Linked DNA regions of Oryctolagus cuniculus. The protein of the gene in region 2 purifies or fractionates together with the protein of the main gene of each other region. This does not show direct contact. Links are inferred from orthologs where the notes say so. Each region holds a gene or a part of one and is shown on either strand. Other genes may lie near its edges.

Region 1 (4,448 bases), on a different chromosome or scaffold from region 2:
AAGATTATCTTTTTAAATCCAGTCACCCTGAAAAATTTGCTTCAACTCCCGCCATTCCTACTTTAGTTTTTATTTCTTTTTTTTTTTTTTTTTTGACAGGCAGAGTGGACAGTGAGAGAGAGAGACAGAGAGAAAGGTCTTCCTTTGCCGTTGGTTCACCCTCCAATGGCCGCCGCGGCCGGCGCGCTGTGGCCGGCGCACCGCACTGATCCGATGGCAGGAGCCAGGAGCCAGGTGCTTTTCCTGGTCTCCCATGGGGTGCAGGGCCCAAGCACCTGGGCCATCCTCCACTGCACTCCCTGGCCACAGCAGAGGGCTGGCCTGGAAGAGGGGCAACCGGGACAGAATCCGGCGCCCCGACCGGGACTAGAACCCGGTGTGCCGGCGCCGCTAGGCGGAGGATTAGCCTAGTGAGCCGCGGCGCCGGCTAGTTTTTATTTCAAAATACCTCTAGTCTTGGGGCTGGCGCTGTGGTGTAGCAGGTAAAGCTGCCACCTGCTGTGCCAGCATCCCATAGGAGCACCAGTTCGAGTCCTGGCTGCTCCACTTCCGATCCAGCTCTCCACCATGGCCTGTGAAAGCAGAAGATGATGGCCCAAGTCCTTGGCCCCTGCACCCCTTGGGAGACATAGAAGAAGCTCCAGGCTCCTGGCTTTGGATTGGCACAGCTCTGACCATTGCAGCCAATTGGGGAGTGAACCAGCGGATGGAAGACTCTCTCTCTGCCTCTCCTTCTCTAACTCTGACTTTCAAATAAAATAAATTAAAAAAAAAAAAAAACCTCTAATCTCTCAGTTTCCAGGCTAGAAAGTTCTGAATTATTTGACACGTTCCTTCCCTTCTTTCCTATCCAACCATATGCCAAGGCATATTCCTCTTCCACAGCCACAGATCGCCCTTCCTTTCATTTGCGATGCCCTCATTACCTTTCACCTAACTAGTGTAATAGCCCCAAACCAGCACTGACTCACTCCTCTAATCCAACTAATCTCCATAAAGCTCAATAATGACCATGAAACTTAAGATAAAAATTAACAGCTTATAGTTGCCCATAGAATGAGACCAAAACTCCTTCACCTCACACTGAAAATCATCTAGTATCTAACACCATTCTGTTTTTCCCATATCTACTGCTACTCCAAGTATATGTGCTGATCAAACTGGACTTTTCTCAGACATGCATTATTTTTTCCACTGTCCCTCCTTTGCTCCTATTATTTTCAGAATTCAAAATTACTCACTGTATTTATTGAGATACTACTCCCTCAAGATCCACTAAAAATTTCAGCTCCTTCATGAAGTTTTCCATGATCCCTTAGTACAGACTGCACTCTGTCATCCAAACTTCCACGGGGTTGATTTGAATCCTCTGAAAATGTTAATACATTTCTAGCTGAAACTATAATTATTTTTGTGAACAGTTCTTTAAGAGATGCCTCCTATATGGGAACAAGGATCTTGATTTTGTTCACCGTAGGAAGCACCCAAATACACACACTAAGTGGATAAGGATAGACTGTACTTCAATCATTCTTGTTAAGACAAAAAAATGAGTAACACAAAACAATCAATACACATGCTAAGTAAACATTCACACAATTTAGTAAAATTTTCCTGTTAAGGATAATTTCCATCATACACAACCTAACTCAAAATTATCACCTAAAGATGGTTCTCCTCGATGCCCTAGAAGCTGAACACTAACAAAGTCACTTTATATGACAATGGGAATGACAATCATTTTTAAAACTTCACATACATCTTCCAGGAGATAGGAAAAGGATGGAAAAATGCTAGTTCCAGGTGATGAAACTTTGGGTTAACATACTTGACAAGAAAGGAGGCTTCTTAAGTCAGTTCCTACAAAAAAAATCTGTATTTCCTAACTATTAAAAAAAAACTTAACAGCTATGATCAGAATATACTGATCAGAATAGAAAATGAAAGCAAAAATGTCTACAGCATAAATATGTAAAACTTAATATTAGCATATGCAGCCTCTGAAAGCTTCGTTTTTTAATAAATATAACCTCAAAATCTTTGACTTTTAAAAACACTACATTCGGCCTTCAACCCTAATACTTCAATATTAACACTAACACTAACCTGCTTTAAACTTTTATTTTAAAAGTCAGAAAACTCTCAGCCAAGTGGAATCAGTATGCGAAATCTCTCGAGATCACTCCAAACTCTGGTTCCTATAAAAGCAGACTCCACACTGGGCATAGCTAAGTCTGCCTTCAAGCTTTTCCAAGAACTATACACCCCTGTGAACCATACTACAAATCCACTGGGTAGTCTCCGTGTGCTTTTTCACATTTTTTCTTATAAAAAGGGGGGGGGGGAGCAGTCGTACTCAACGCTAAAAGGTGTATGGGTAAGGGGGTGACCCCCGCCTCCGGATTAAAGGTCGGAGTCCCGGACCCCGGCTTCCTTTCCTAACACAGACCGGGGCTTCTCACTTCCGCACCAAGATACGACCGAGCAGTGACTCAGCGGCAGGACAAGTGGGGCCGATTTACCCAAATCTAGCTTGAGCAGTAACCGCGAGCGCAAGGGGAGGACAAGAGATCCCGCCCGGCCAGACCCGGGTTCCCGGGGCGCCCCATGACACGGCAGAACCCAGGCCGCGGCCGGGCCCCGGGCCTGCCCACCCATAACCCCGTCCCAGCTTCCCCCCACCGCACGGACCTGTCGTACTCAGACCGGGTGAGGAACATGGTGAGGGCAGAACTAGGCGGCAGCGGCGATGTGGGAAACCGGAGGAACCACGGGACTTCACCGGGATCCAACTCACCCACACCGCCACTTAACCCAGGAACCTGCTTCCAACTGCGCGTGCGCCCGCGACCTCTTTAGCCCGCCCTCCTAGGCTTGCTTTCTATTGGCTGGCCATAGTTCCCGTCGAGGCGATTGGGCCAACGCGCCTCCCGCCAGGCCTCGCTCAGCCTAACGGAGGCGGGACAAAGAGCATTCTTCCGCTTTAAACTGCCGGCGGTTGCTAGGGGCGCCGGGAGTTTGAGGCGTGTGTGGGGAGTTCTCCATTTAGCGGTGTGAGCCGGCGCCAGGATGGGCAGCTAGGAGGGATTGTACCGAAGGCCGTGCTATCTGAACCTTGATTTGATAGGTCTCTCGCCGGCTTGCTTAATCTCCGCCCGGAGACGTTGGTCCGGTTTCCAACACGCGCTGCGCTCGCCCGTCTCTGCGGAGTTCCGGGTTGCTTGAGGTCTGGCGCGGTCTATCCGGTGCTCTAGCGAGGGCTGCAAATTTTGAGCGGTGATGGGTGCACTACGGTGGGTCTGAGCCGGCGCCGTGGGCGAGTCCAGCCTGGCTCATTTATTGAGAAAAGTTGGTGGGTTTTAACCAGTAAGAAAGTCTTCCAGTTTCCGCAAGTTGAGGTAATTTTGCCAGCTCGTTGTTGGACCCTCCCTGCGCCCGCCCCCAGTCCAGATTTCAGACTGATGAGCTCAGGATCCCAGATTCAGATCGTTCGCCGTTTTTCTGTTCTTAATGAAGAATGCGTGCTTTCCTTTTCGGTGCTTCTTGCCTCCCTTTCCCAAGGGCGGAAGAGCAACTTCGTAGCTTCATAGAAACATTCTGAGTAACTTGTCTAAGACAGGAAGTTAAGAAATCACGGCCGGGGATAAGGTGTTGAGAGGATCGAAAAAAGGAAAGTTGGAGATCTATTATACAGCAGGGTGACGCTAGTGAATAATGTATATTTGAAAGTTGCCAAGAAAGTAGATCTCAAACGTTCTCTCTCACACACACAAGTATGTGAGATGATGGATACAGTAATTGATCTAATCATGCACAAAGTGTATCTGGGGCAAAACATCACGGAGGAAGCGGGGGCTGGCGCTGGCTTAGCTGTTGTGTCCCGGCTGCTCCACTTCCGATCCAACCCCCTGCTAATGGCTTGGAGAAAGCGAAAAATGACCCAAGTGTCTGGGAGCCTATCGCCCATGTGGGAGACTTGGAAGAAGCTTCTGGTTCCTGGTTGCAGCCATCTGGGGAATGAGCCAGCATATGGAAGATCTCTCAGTATATGAGATATGAAAGAGCATATTTCTTTCAAATAAATTTTAAAAATTAAAAAAAGAAAATCAGGAGGAGAGGTTGGGCATTTGGCCCAGTGCTTGAGACACAGGCTGTGATACCCCCATGTCCGACTCTGCTTCCATTACAGCTTCCTGCTAATGTAGCCTGGCAGGCAGCAGGTGGTGACTCATGTGCTTGGATCCTGGCTCCTAGCTTTGGCCTGGCCCAGCCCCATTCATTGCAGGCATTTGGGGAATAAGCCAATGGATGAGAGCTCGCTCTCTCTCTCTCTGCCTCAAATAAATATATTGAAATTTTAAGATGTCTAATTTTTTAGAACTTGCATTTATACCATAACTATAAACAATTTTTGTCAGTTATACCTTAGTAAATCAAGGAGGAAGTCA
Region 2 (3,648 bases):
ACTTTGGGAATATTATTTATGTTTCTTTGGTTACTGGGAATTCAAGTGGTGACTATTCATTTTATAGCATTTTTTTTAAGATAACATGCATTACTTTTAGAATTTTAAAAAAAATGGGAAAGGGTTGTGGCGTAGTAGCTCAGGCCTCCACCTGCGTGCCAGCATCCCGGCTTTTCCACTTCTGATCCAGCTCCCTGCTGGTGGAAGATAACCCAGATGCTTGGGAGTCTGCACCCATTGGGAGACCCAAAAGCAGCTCTTGGCTCCTGGCTTCAGATCAGCCTAGCTCTGACCTTTGCGGCCATTTGGGGAATGAACCAGAGATTCAAGACTTCTTTCTAACTCTGCCTCTCAAATGAGAGCAGGGGAGGGGAGATTGTAGGGAGAAAAATAGGAGCTTAAGTAACTAATGGCATTTAGGATTAAGCTTTTCCCATAACAGAATTATTACCTGGTGAACCTGGTCCACTGAGAAGAAATGCATGTGGTTGTGCATCAGAACTACAACATGGATCTGTCTGTTGGAAATTAGTTTCTAAATGTCTTCTCTTCTGCATGCGTTTATACTCCTGTTTTATGTTGTACAAGATTTGTTCTAAAAAAAAAAAAAAGTTAAAATTGGGCTTTTAAGATAAAAACTTTCAAGTTAAAAAAGAGGTAGACTTTCCAATAGTTATTTAGTAGAACCAATCTTCCCCGTAAATTCTCTTCAAGTAACATTCATAAAAACCAACATTCTGGAAGAAATCATATCAGCATAAATAGGAGCACTTTACCAGAAATGTCACATATATACCACCTGAATTCAACTATTCAGTATCATTTCTGTAAGTTTTTCACTCAAACAGGGAATCTGACATCAAACATCTACCTATTTACTCAAGATTCCTAGCCCCGAAGTTTGTTTATTTATCATACATAGAACTAACACACTAACAGGCTTTTTTCTAAACCCATAAGTAATCAGAAAGGGAAGAGTATGTATATTCAAACACACCAGCAAGATGTGACAGGTCAAAAGAACAAAGACAGAAGATAAAAATGGCTACCAGCCATTAATATTAAGTTCAGCAGAACCCAAGAATATTACAGCATTAATAGCAAAGCATTCTGAATCCTGGGTTTTTGGGAAACCCTCATGCGAAGTGGCACAGAGCAGGTCCTCTCAAAAAAATAACCGCTACACCACAGTGCAATTATGCTTAAACACAGCCGTTGCAACGGGGGATAAAATTATATCCAACATATCCTTCAGACCTGGTATGATTCATTTAGAAAGATTTTCCAATTTAAAATAGTTAACATGGCTGGCGCCGCAGCTCAATAGGTTAATCCTCCACATAGCAGCGCCGGCACACTGGGTTCTAGCCCAGTCGGGGCACCGGATTCTTTCCCGGTTGCCTCTCTTCCAAGCCAGCTGTCTGCTGTGGCCCGGGAAGGCAGTGGAGGATGGCCCAAGTGCTTGGGCCCTGCACCCCTTGGGAGACCAGGAGAAGCACCTGGCTCCTGCCTTTGGATCAGCACGGTGCGCCGGCCGCAGTGTGCCAGCCGTGGCAGCCATTGGAGGGTGAACCAACAGCAAAGGAAGACCTTTCTCTCTGTCTCTCTCTCTCACTATCCACTCTGCCTGCCAAAAAAAAAAAAAAAAAAAAAAAAAAAAAAAAAAAAAAAGAATAAAATAAAATAGTTAACATTAGGTCTCTCCCCCCAAATCCCTAAGGTTCCTTCCTGTCCAGACTTTTCTCACTACCTCAATAACTCCCAAATTAATAGGTTATCTATCTGAAAATTAATCCAAGAAGTTTACTAATCCCAATGGAAAGTGAGATTAAACAAAAAGTAGCAGTAAGATTCGTAAGTACAGTTGCATGCTGCCTCACAGGGACATGCTGTGATAAATGTACCATTTGCCGGTTTTGTTGTGCAATCACAGAGTGCGCTTACACAAACTAAGATAACTTAAGATGTCACAAGGTACTGTGATCTTATGAATCTACTCTTGTACATGCTCATCACTGACCAAAACAGCATGAGACAGTACATTACTGTGTAAGAGTATAAATTTTTCAACAGTGATGCATTAAAGAACTGAAAATGCAACTGAAGATTAAAGACTTGTGTGTGATAAGGTTTTTTAAAATTTAAAACTGGTTTTGTTAGATTTTTTACTCTCTTCTCACTTTATATTATATCCCCAGAAAACAAACCTTAAGCACTTTTGAGAAACTCCCAAAAGAACATAAATCAGTCCCTTGAACATTTTTAATTCTGCCAACTTCATTATAACTGAAAAAAAAAAAAATCGCAAAGTATGTCCCATTTAAATACTTTTTGTTATGTAAACAAACCTGTTTTGTATAAAAACCACAAATTGGAATGACTTACAGGATGGTTGTGTTTAGAGTACTTTCATGTATTAAGCTTTTTTCAGAATATTAACATTTGTTTAATGTTAGTCATTTTTAATTTTTCCATTTATTTGACTAGTTTGCAATTTAAAGAGGCTGCTAGTGTTTGATATAAATGGGTTCCTAATATTCAGAGGTATGCAATAAAACTAATACATCCTGTATCAACCAGGGCAATCACAAATATCTTTATATCAGTAACTATATTCTAAATGGAATTTAGTTTTATAAACCTCCAAACAAGATATAATCTACAAATGACAAAATCCACTAATTTAAAAGTGTGATGCAGTGAATTCTGACTGCATACATGCAGTCTCAGAACCATCAGAATCATGATAAAGAACTTTTTATCATTCCCAAAAAGTCTCCCATGTTCTTTTGCAGTTAATTTACCACTATGACCAAACACCTCCATCCACCAACACTCATGTCCTATTAATGTAGTCTCCCTTAAAAACCCACTGGCTCCACCATCTGGACTTCAACCAACCACAGATCAAAAATATTCAGGGAAGAAAGTGCATCTGTACTAAACAGGCGTAAGTATTTATGGCAGTGGTCATCATTAATTAAAGAATAAAATTTAATAACTATTTACATAGTATATTTTATATATTGTATGTGCATTGCTTATATGCAAGCATTAGACCTTTTTCTTTAAGGGACTGAGATATCTGTGAATCTTGGTACAGGAAGGAGGGCTGGAACCCATTCCCCACAAAGGACAACTGTACTTTGTGCAATTTTGCCTTTTCTAGAATTTCAGGTAAATAGACCAATTAAGAGTATGGAATGGTGTCTGAAATTCTTTCACTCAGCAAAATGTTCTTGAGATTCATATTATGTTCTATGAATTAGTAACTCCTCCCTTTTAATTGATTAGTATATCATTGTGTTTTGTCCCCCCCCCCCCCAGACATTTCATCCATCCATTCTCACAGTATCAACCTTTCGACTGTTTCCCACAAATATTCAGGTACAAGTTTTTGGGTAGAGAGTTTCATTTCCCTTGGATAAATACCCCAGAGTGGGACTAAACTGCCCAATCACACGGCAACTGAAGGGTGGTTTTAATTTTTAAAAAACTCAGAGTGACCTCATCATTTTGTATTCCTACCAACAATATATTGTATTAAGAGTTCCAGCTGCTCCACATCTTTGCCAACACTTGATACTGTCAGTTAAAGAGCTGAAGAATTTTGAATGTTATTGCCTGCACTGCTTTTCACATCTAATA
Region 3 (3,648 bases), on a different chromosome or scaffold from region 2:
CCCCCCCACCTCCTGTGTGTGGGCGTCGGCTTTGGGTCATGTGGTTCCACTTGATGTGTGGAATGTGATCGAAATGTGTACCATCCCCTTGTAGAGTGTGTATAAAGCAGATTCAAAATTCTGTTTCTTTACTCTTCATCATACTTATGTGAGGACAGAAGTAAATTATACAGAGGAAGTGGAAGATCCTGTGGATTCTGATGGTATGTAGTTTATCTGATCTTTACAGAAATATACCAGTTAGTGGGAAGAGAAATCTAGGAGATGCTTCACTCTTAAATGCGTTTTCTAATTGAGGTTCCTTTTGGTGTATTAGACGTGAGGAGATGAGACATGACCGTCTTCTGTCTATTCCTACAGGCATTTAAATAAATCACGTAAAATCATAGGATTCCTGAGTTGGAAATGATCTCTTAAAGGCCATTTATCCAGCTTTCTTCTGCTGTTTTGTCTAGTCTAATTTTGAAGTCCCAGATGATGTTAACTTTTCTGTTTGAATATTTTTAAGTATTGCAGATCAAGAATAGACATGCTAGAAGAAATATATTCAGTGTTTCTGGTTCTTTTACTTGGAAAACCAAAGAGTATTTGATATCCTCAAAGTTCCTTTTTCTTTTTCTTTTTCTTCTTCTTTTTTTTTTTTTTTTTTTTTTAAGATTTATTCAGACATTCATTTGAAAGGCAGAATGACAGAGAACAGGGGATCATCCATCTGCTGGTTCACTTCCTAAATACCCACTGCAGCCAGAGCTGTGCCAGGCTGAAGGCAGGATCCGGGAACTCCATCCTGGTCTTCCAGGAGGGTGGAAGGAATCCAAGTCCTTGGGCTGTCATGTGCTGCCTCCTAGGCACTTTAGTAGGAAGCTGGATTGGAAGTGTAGTAGCCAGGACTGAAATAGCCCTCCAGTATGGGATGTGTACATCCCAGGTAGCAACTTAACCCACTGTGCCACAACACAGCCCTTAAAGTTCAGCCCTTCTTCCAGTCCAATCCCTTAGGACTAATAATTTTCAGGCACTTTAAATATTCACTAATAATGTAGTTATTTATTTATTTTTGGACAGGCAGAGTGGATAGTGAGAGAGAGAGACAGAGAGAAAGGTCTTCCTTTTGCCGTTGGTTCACCCTCCAATGGCCGCCACGGCTGGCGTGCTGCAGCCGGCGCTCCACACTGATCCAAAGGCAGGAGCCAGGTGCTTCTCCTGGTCTCCCATGCAGGTGCAGGGCCCAAGCACTTGGGCCATCCTCCACTGCCTTCCCGGGCCACAGCAGAGAGCTGGCCTGGAAGAGGGGCAACTGGGAAAGAATCTGGCGCCCCGACCGGGACTAGAACCCGGTGTGCCGGCGCCACTAGGTGGAGGATTAGCCTATTGAGCTGCGGCACCGGCCAGTGTAGTTTATTTCTAGCGTACATTCTTATCATTAGTTCCTTCTCTTGCGTGCATTAGTTCCTTCTCCTGCGTGCATTCTTATCATTAGTTCCTTCTCTTGCGTATTTTCTATAGGTGAAGTCCTGGGCTTTGAAAATCTCGTCTTTAGCATATTTGAATTTGTCCACGCCCTACTAGAAAATAGCAAATTCAAAAGCACTGTCAAGAAGGCCTTGCCTGAGTTGATATACTATATAATCCTGTACATGCAAATCACTGAGGAGCAGGTAAGTAATATTTGGGAGACAGTCATCAGCTTGTATTTGGAAGGTGCAACTTGATCAATATGAAACCTTGGTCAAATGAACAGCAAGTCTAAAAATAAACATGAGAATAGCTCTGTGTGGAGTTCTAGGAAGCCTTTGACATCATTTTATTGCCAGTTCCCTGGGTATTATAGCTTTATCAACTCCCAAATTGGGTAATTGGGCTTCCAGAACACTTCTATTAGGAAGATCTTTTCTGGCCTCTTACCAAAGACCTTGGTATCCCTGGGAACCTATTCCCTCCCCAGATGTAGTGAAATGTAGAGAACAGATCGTTAGCCTGTTGGTCATTCAAACTGGGAAAGAACTCTCAAGATAAGATGGTGCCCCGAATAAGAGAGCACAGGAGCTGGCATGATTTCACAGTAAATATCCCATCACATTTCCTGTATCCTGAATAGATTCAGAAAATCTATCAAAGAATAACAGCTGATTGATGGTAGCAGAGAACAAGTAACCGCCAAATTCTGAGGTAGAGTCTGCCAGGGAGAAATAGCCAGTTCCCCCTTCCCTTTGTAGAAGACTTGTTTCTCTACAATACAAAGTAAGGCTTTTGAGGATACAGTTTGTTTGGAATCAAAGGTTGAAGTCTTCTTTATCTGTAAGGGAGCACATTAACCAGATTAGCAGCCTCACAAGACCTACCTTGATCATGTCTTCAGATTAAAGTGTGGACAGCCAACCCGCAGCAGTTTGTAGAAGACGAAGATGATGATACCTTCTCCTATACCGTTAGAATTGCTGCTCAGGACCTGTTGCTGGTAAGAGGGTTACCTTGCTACTCCAGCCAGATCATCCTAATCAGCCACTTGAGGGTTTGCTGTTCTTCCTAGACGTTTAACCCAAGTGTTTGTTGCAGTGTTTGTTGGGTGGCTTTATCTCAGACTATTTTGGGGATACAAGAGAGCTTCTCAAATGAAATTTGAGACTCAGAGATTCCACAATCCTTGTCACTGATTCTGATTTACCAGTTGGTATTGAATGTAAGACTTTTGCAGAGGATAAAGTACTCCAATGAGTAAGAAAGTTGAATCAGTAACATTTCCATTTAATCATTCTTCACCAACAGTCTATAGCACACACCCAAAGTTTGCAAAATTAAAAAAAAAAAAAATACTGAACATCAGATATCTGCTCAGGTTTCCTTGGCATCTCCCGGAGTTCTCTCTAGGCTGACACGCTGCGGAGAAATTGCCACTTGCTCCCTTGGTAGGAGCAGTGTTGGTGACTCACCTCTCATCGTTATCTAGTATTTCTAGGTACCAATGAAAGATTGCGCTCGTTCTCGATTAGTGGATTAGCCTTGTTTTTCCATAATTGGGCTTCAAGGGAGTAAACACCTGGACCATTGTCCAAAGCCGAGTCCATCGTTTTTAAGTATGATCTGCTGCTTACAGCTAAAAGGAGCAACTGGCTCCTCTTAACACTGCTTAGGCGCTCAAAATATAGATATTACTTCTATTCCATTAGAGTTCTGAGCCAGTGGGGCACAGTTTTAAAACCTAATCAGTTTTGTGTGTGTATGTGACATACTTTGAACTGTTTACTTCCAGCAATTCTCATTAAAGCAGTTTGCAACTGAAATGCATTTAATGTATAAAATAGGCTTATTAGCCTTTCTTTATCCCTAGGCCGTGGCCACAGATTTCCAGAATGAGAGTGCAGCAGCCCTGGCGGCTGCAGCCACTCGACATTTACAGGAAGCTGAGCAAACCAAAAGCAGTGGCACTGAGCACTGGTAAGAATGAGAACAGATGCCTAACCTGGGGACCTGTTTGGGGCATCTTTTTTTTTTTTTTTTTTTTTTTTTTTGAAAGGCAGAGTTAGAGAGAGGCAGAGGCACACAGAGAGAGGTCTTCCATCCACTGGTTCACTCCCCAAATGGCTGCAACAGCCAGAGCTGAGCCAGTCCAAAGCCAGGAGCTTCTTCCAGGTCTCCCACACAAGTGCA

What was found.
Region 1: the proteins of AKIRIN2 (region 2) and PSMA5 purify together in Homo sapiens (affinity purification with mass spectrometry; 3 studies listed by BioGRID and IntAct, with this or other methods). This does not show direct contact. The link is inferred for Oryctolagus cuniculus from reciprocal best matches to the Homo sapiens genes AKIRIN2 and PSMA5.
Region 3: the proteins of AKIRIN2 (region 2) and IPO9 purify together in Homo sapiens (affinity purification with mass spectrometry; 3 studies listed by BioGRID and IntAct, counting the BioPlex papers as one, with this or other methods). This does not show direct contact. The link is inferred for Oryctolagus cuniculus from reciprocal best matches to the Homo sapiens genes AKIRIN2 and IPO9.

Annotation. Positions count from the first base shown.
Region 1 is NC_091438.1:61,003,612-61,008,059, reverse strand, and holds the start of PSMA5 (proteasome subunit alpha type-5), read right to left. Parts: upstream 2,862-4,448; 5' UTR 2,721-2,861; coding exon 2,692-2,720; intron 1-2,691. UniProt on the Homo sapiens protein: Component of the 20S core proteasome complex involved in the proteolytic degradation of most intracellular proteins. This complex plays numerous essential roles within the cell by associating with different regulatory particles.
Region 2 is NC_091436.1:84,875,029-84,878,676, reverse strand, and holds part of AKIRIN2 (akirin-2), read right to left. Parts: intron 596-3,648; coding exon 452-595; intron 1-451. UniProt on the Homo sapiens protein: Molecular adapter that acts as a bridge between a variety of multiprotein complexes, and which is involved in embryonic development, immunity, myogenesis and brain development.
Region 3 is NC_091444.1:17,766,764-17,770,411, forward strand, and holds part of IPO9 (importin-9), read left to right. Parts: intron 1-144; coding exon 145-203; intron 204-1,506; coding exon 1,507-1,658; intron 1,659-2,359; coding exon 2,360-2,458; intron 2,459-3,328; coding exon 3,329-3,435; intron 3,436-3,648. UniProt on the Homo sapiens protein: Nuclear transport receptor that mediates nuclear import of proteins, such as histones, proteasome and actin. Serves as receptor for nuclear localization signals (NLS) in cargo substrates.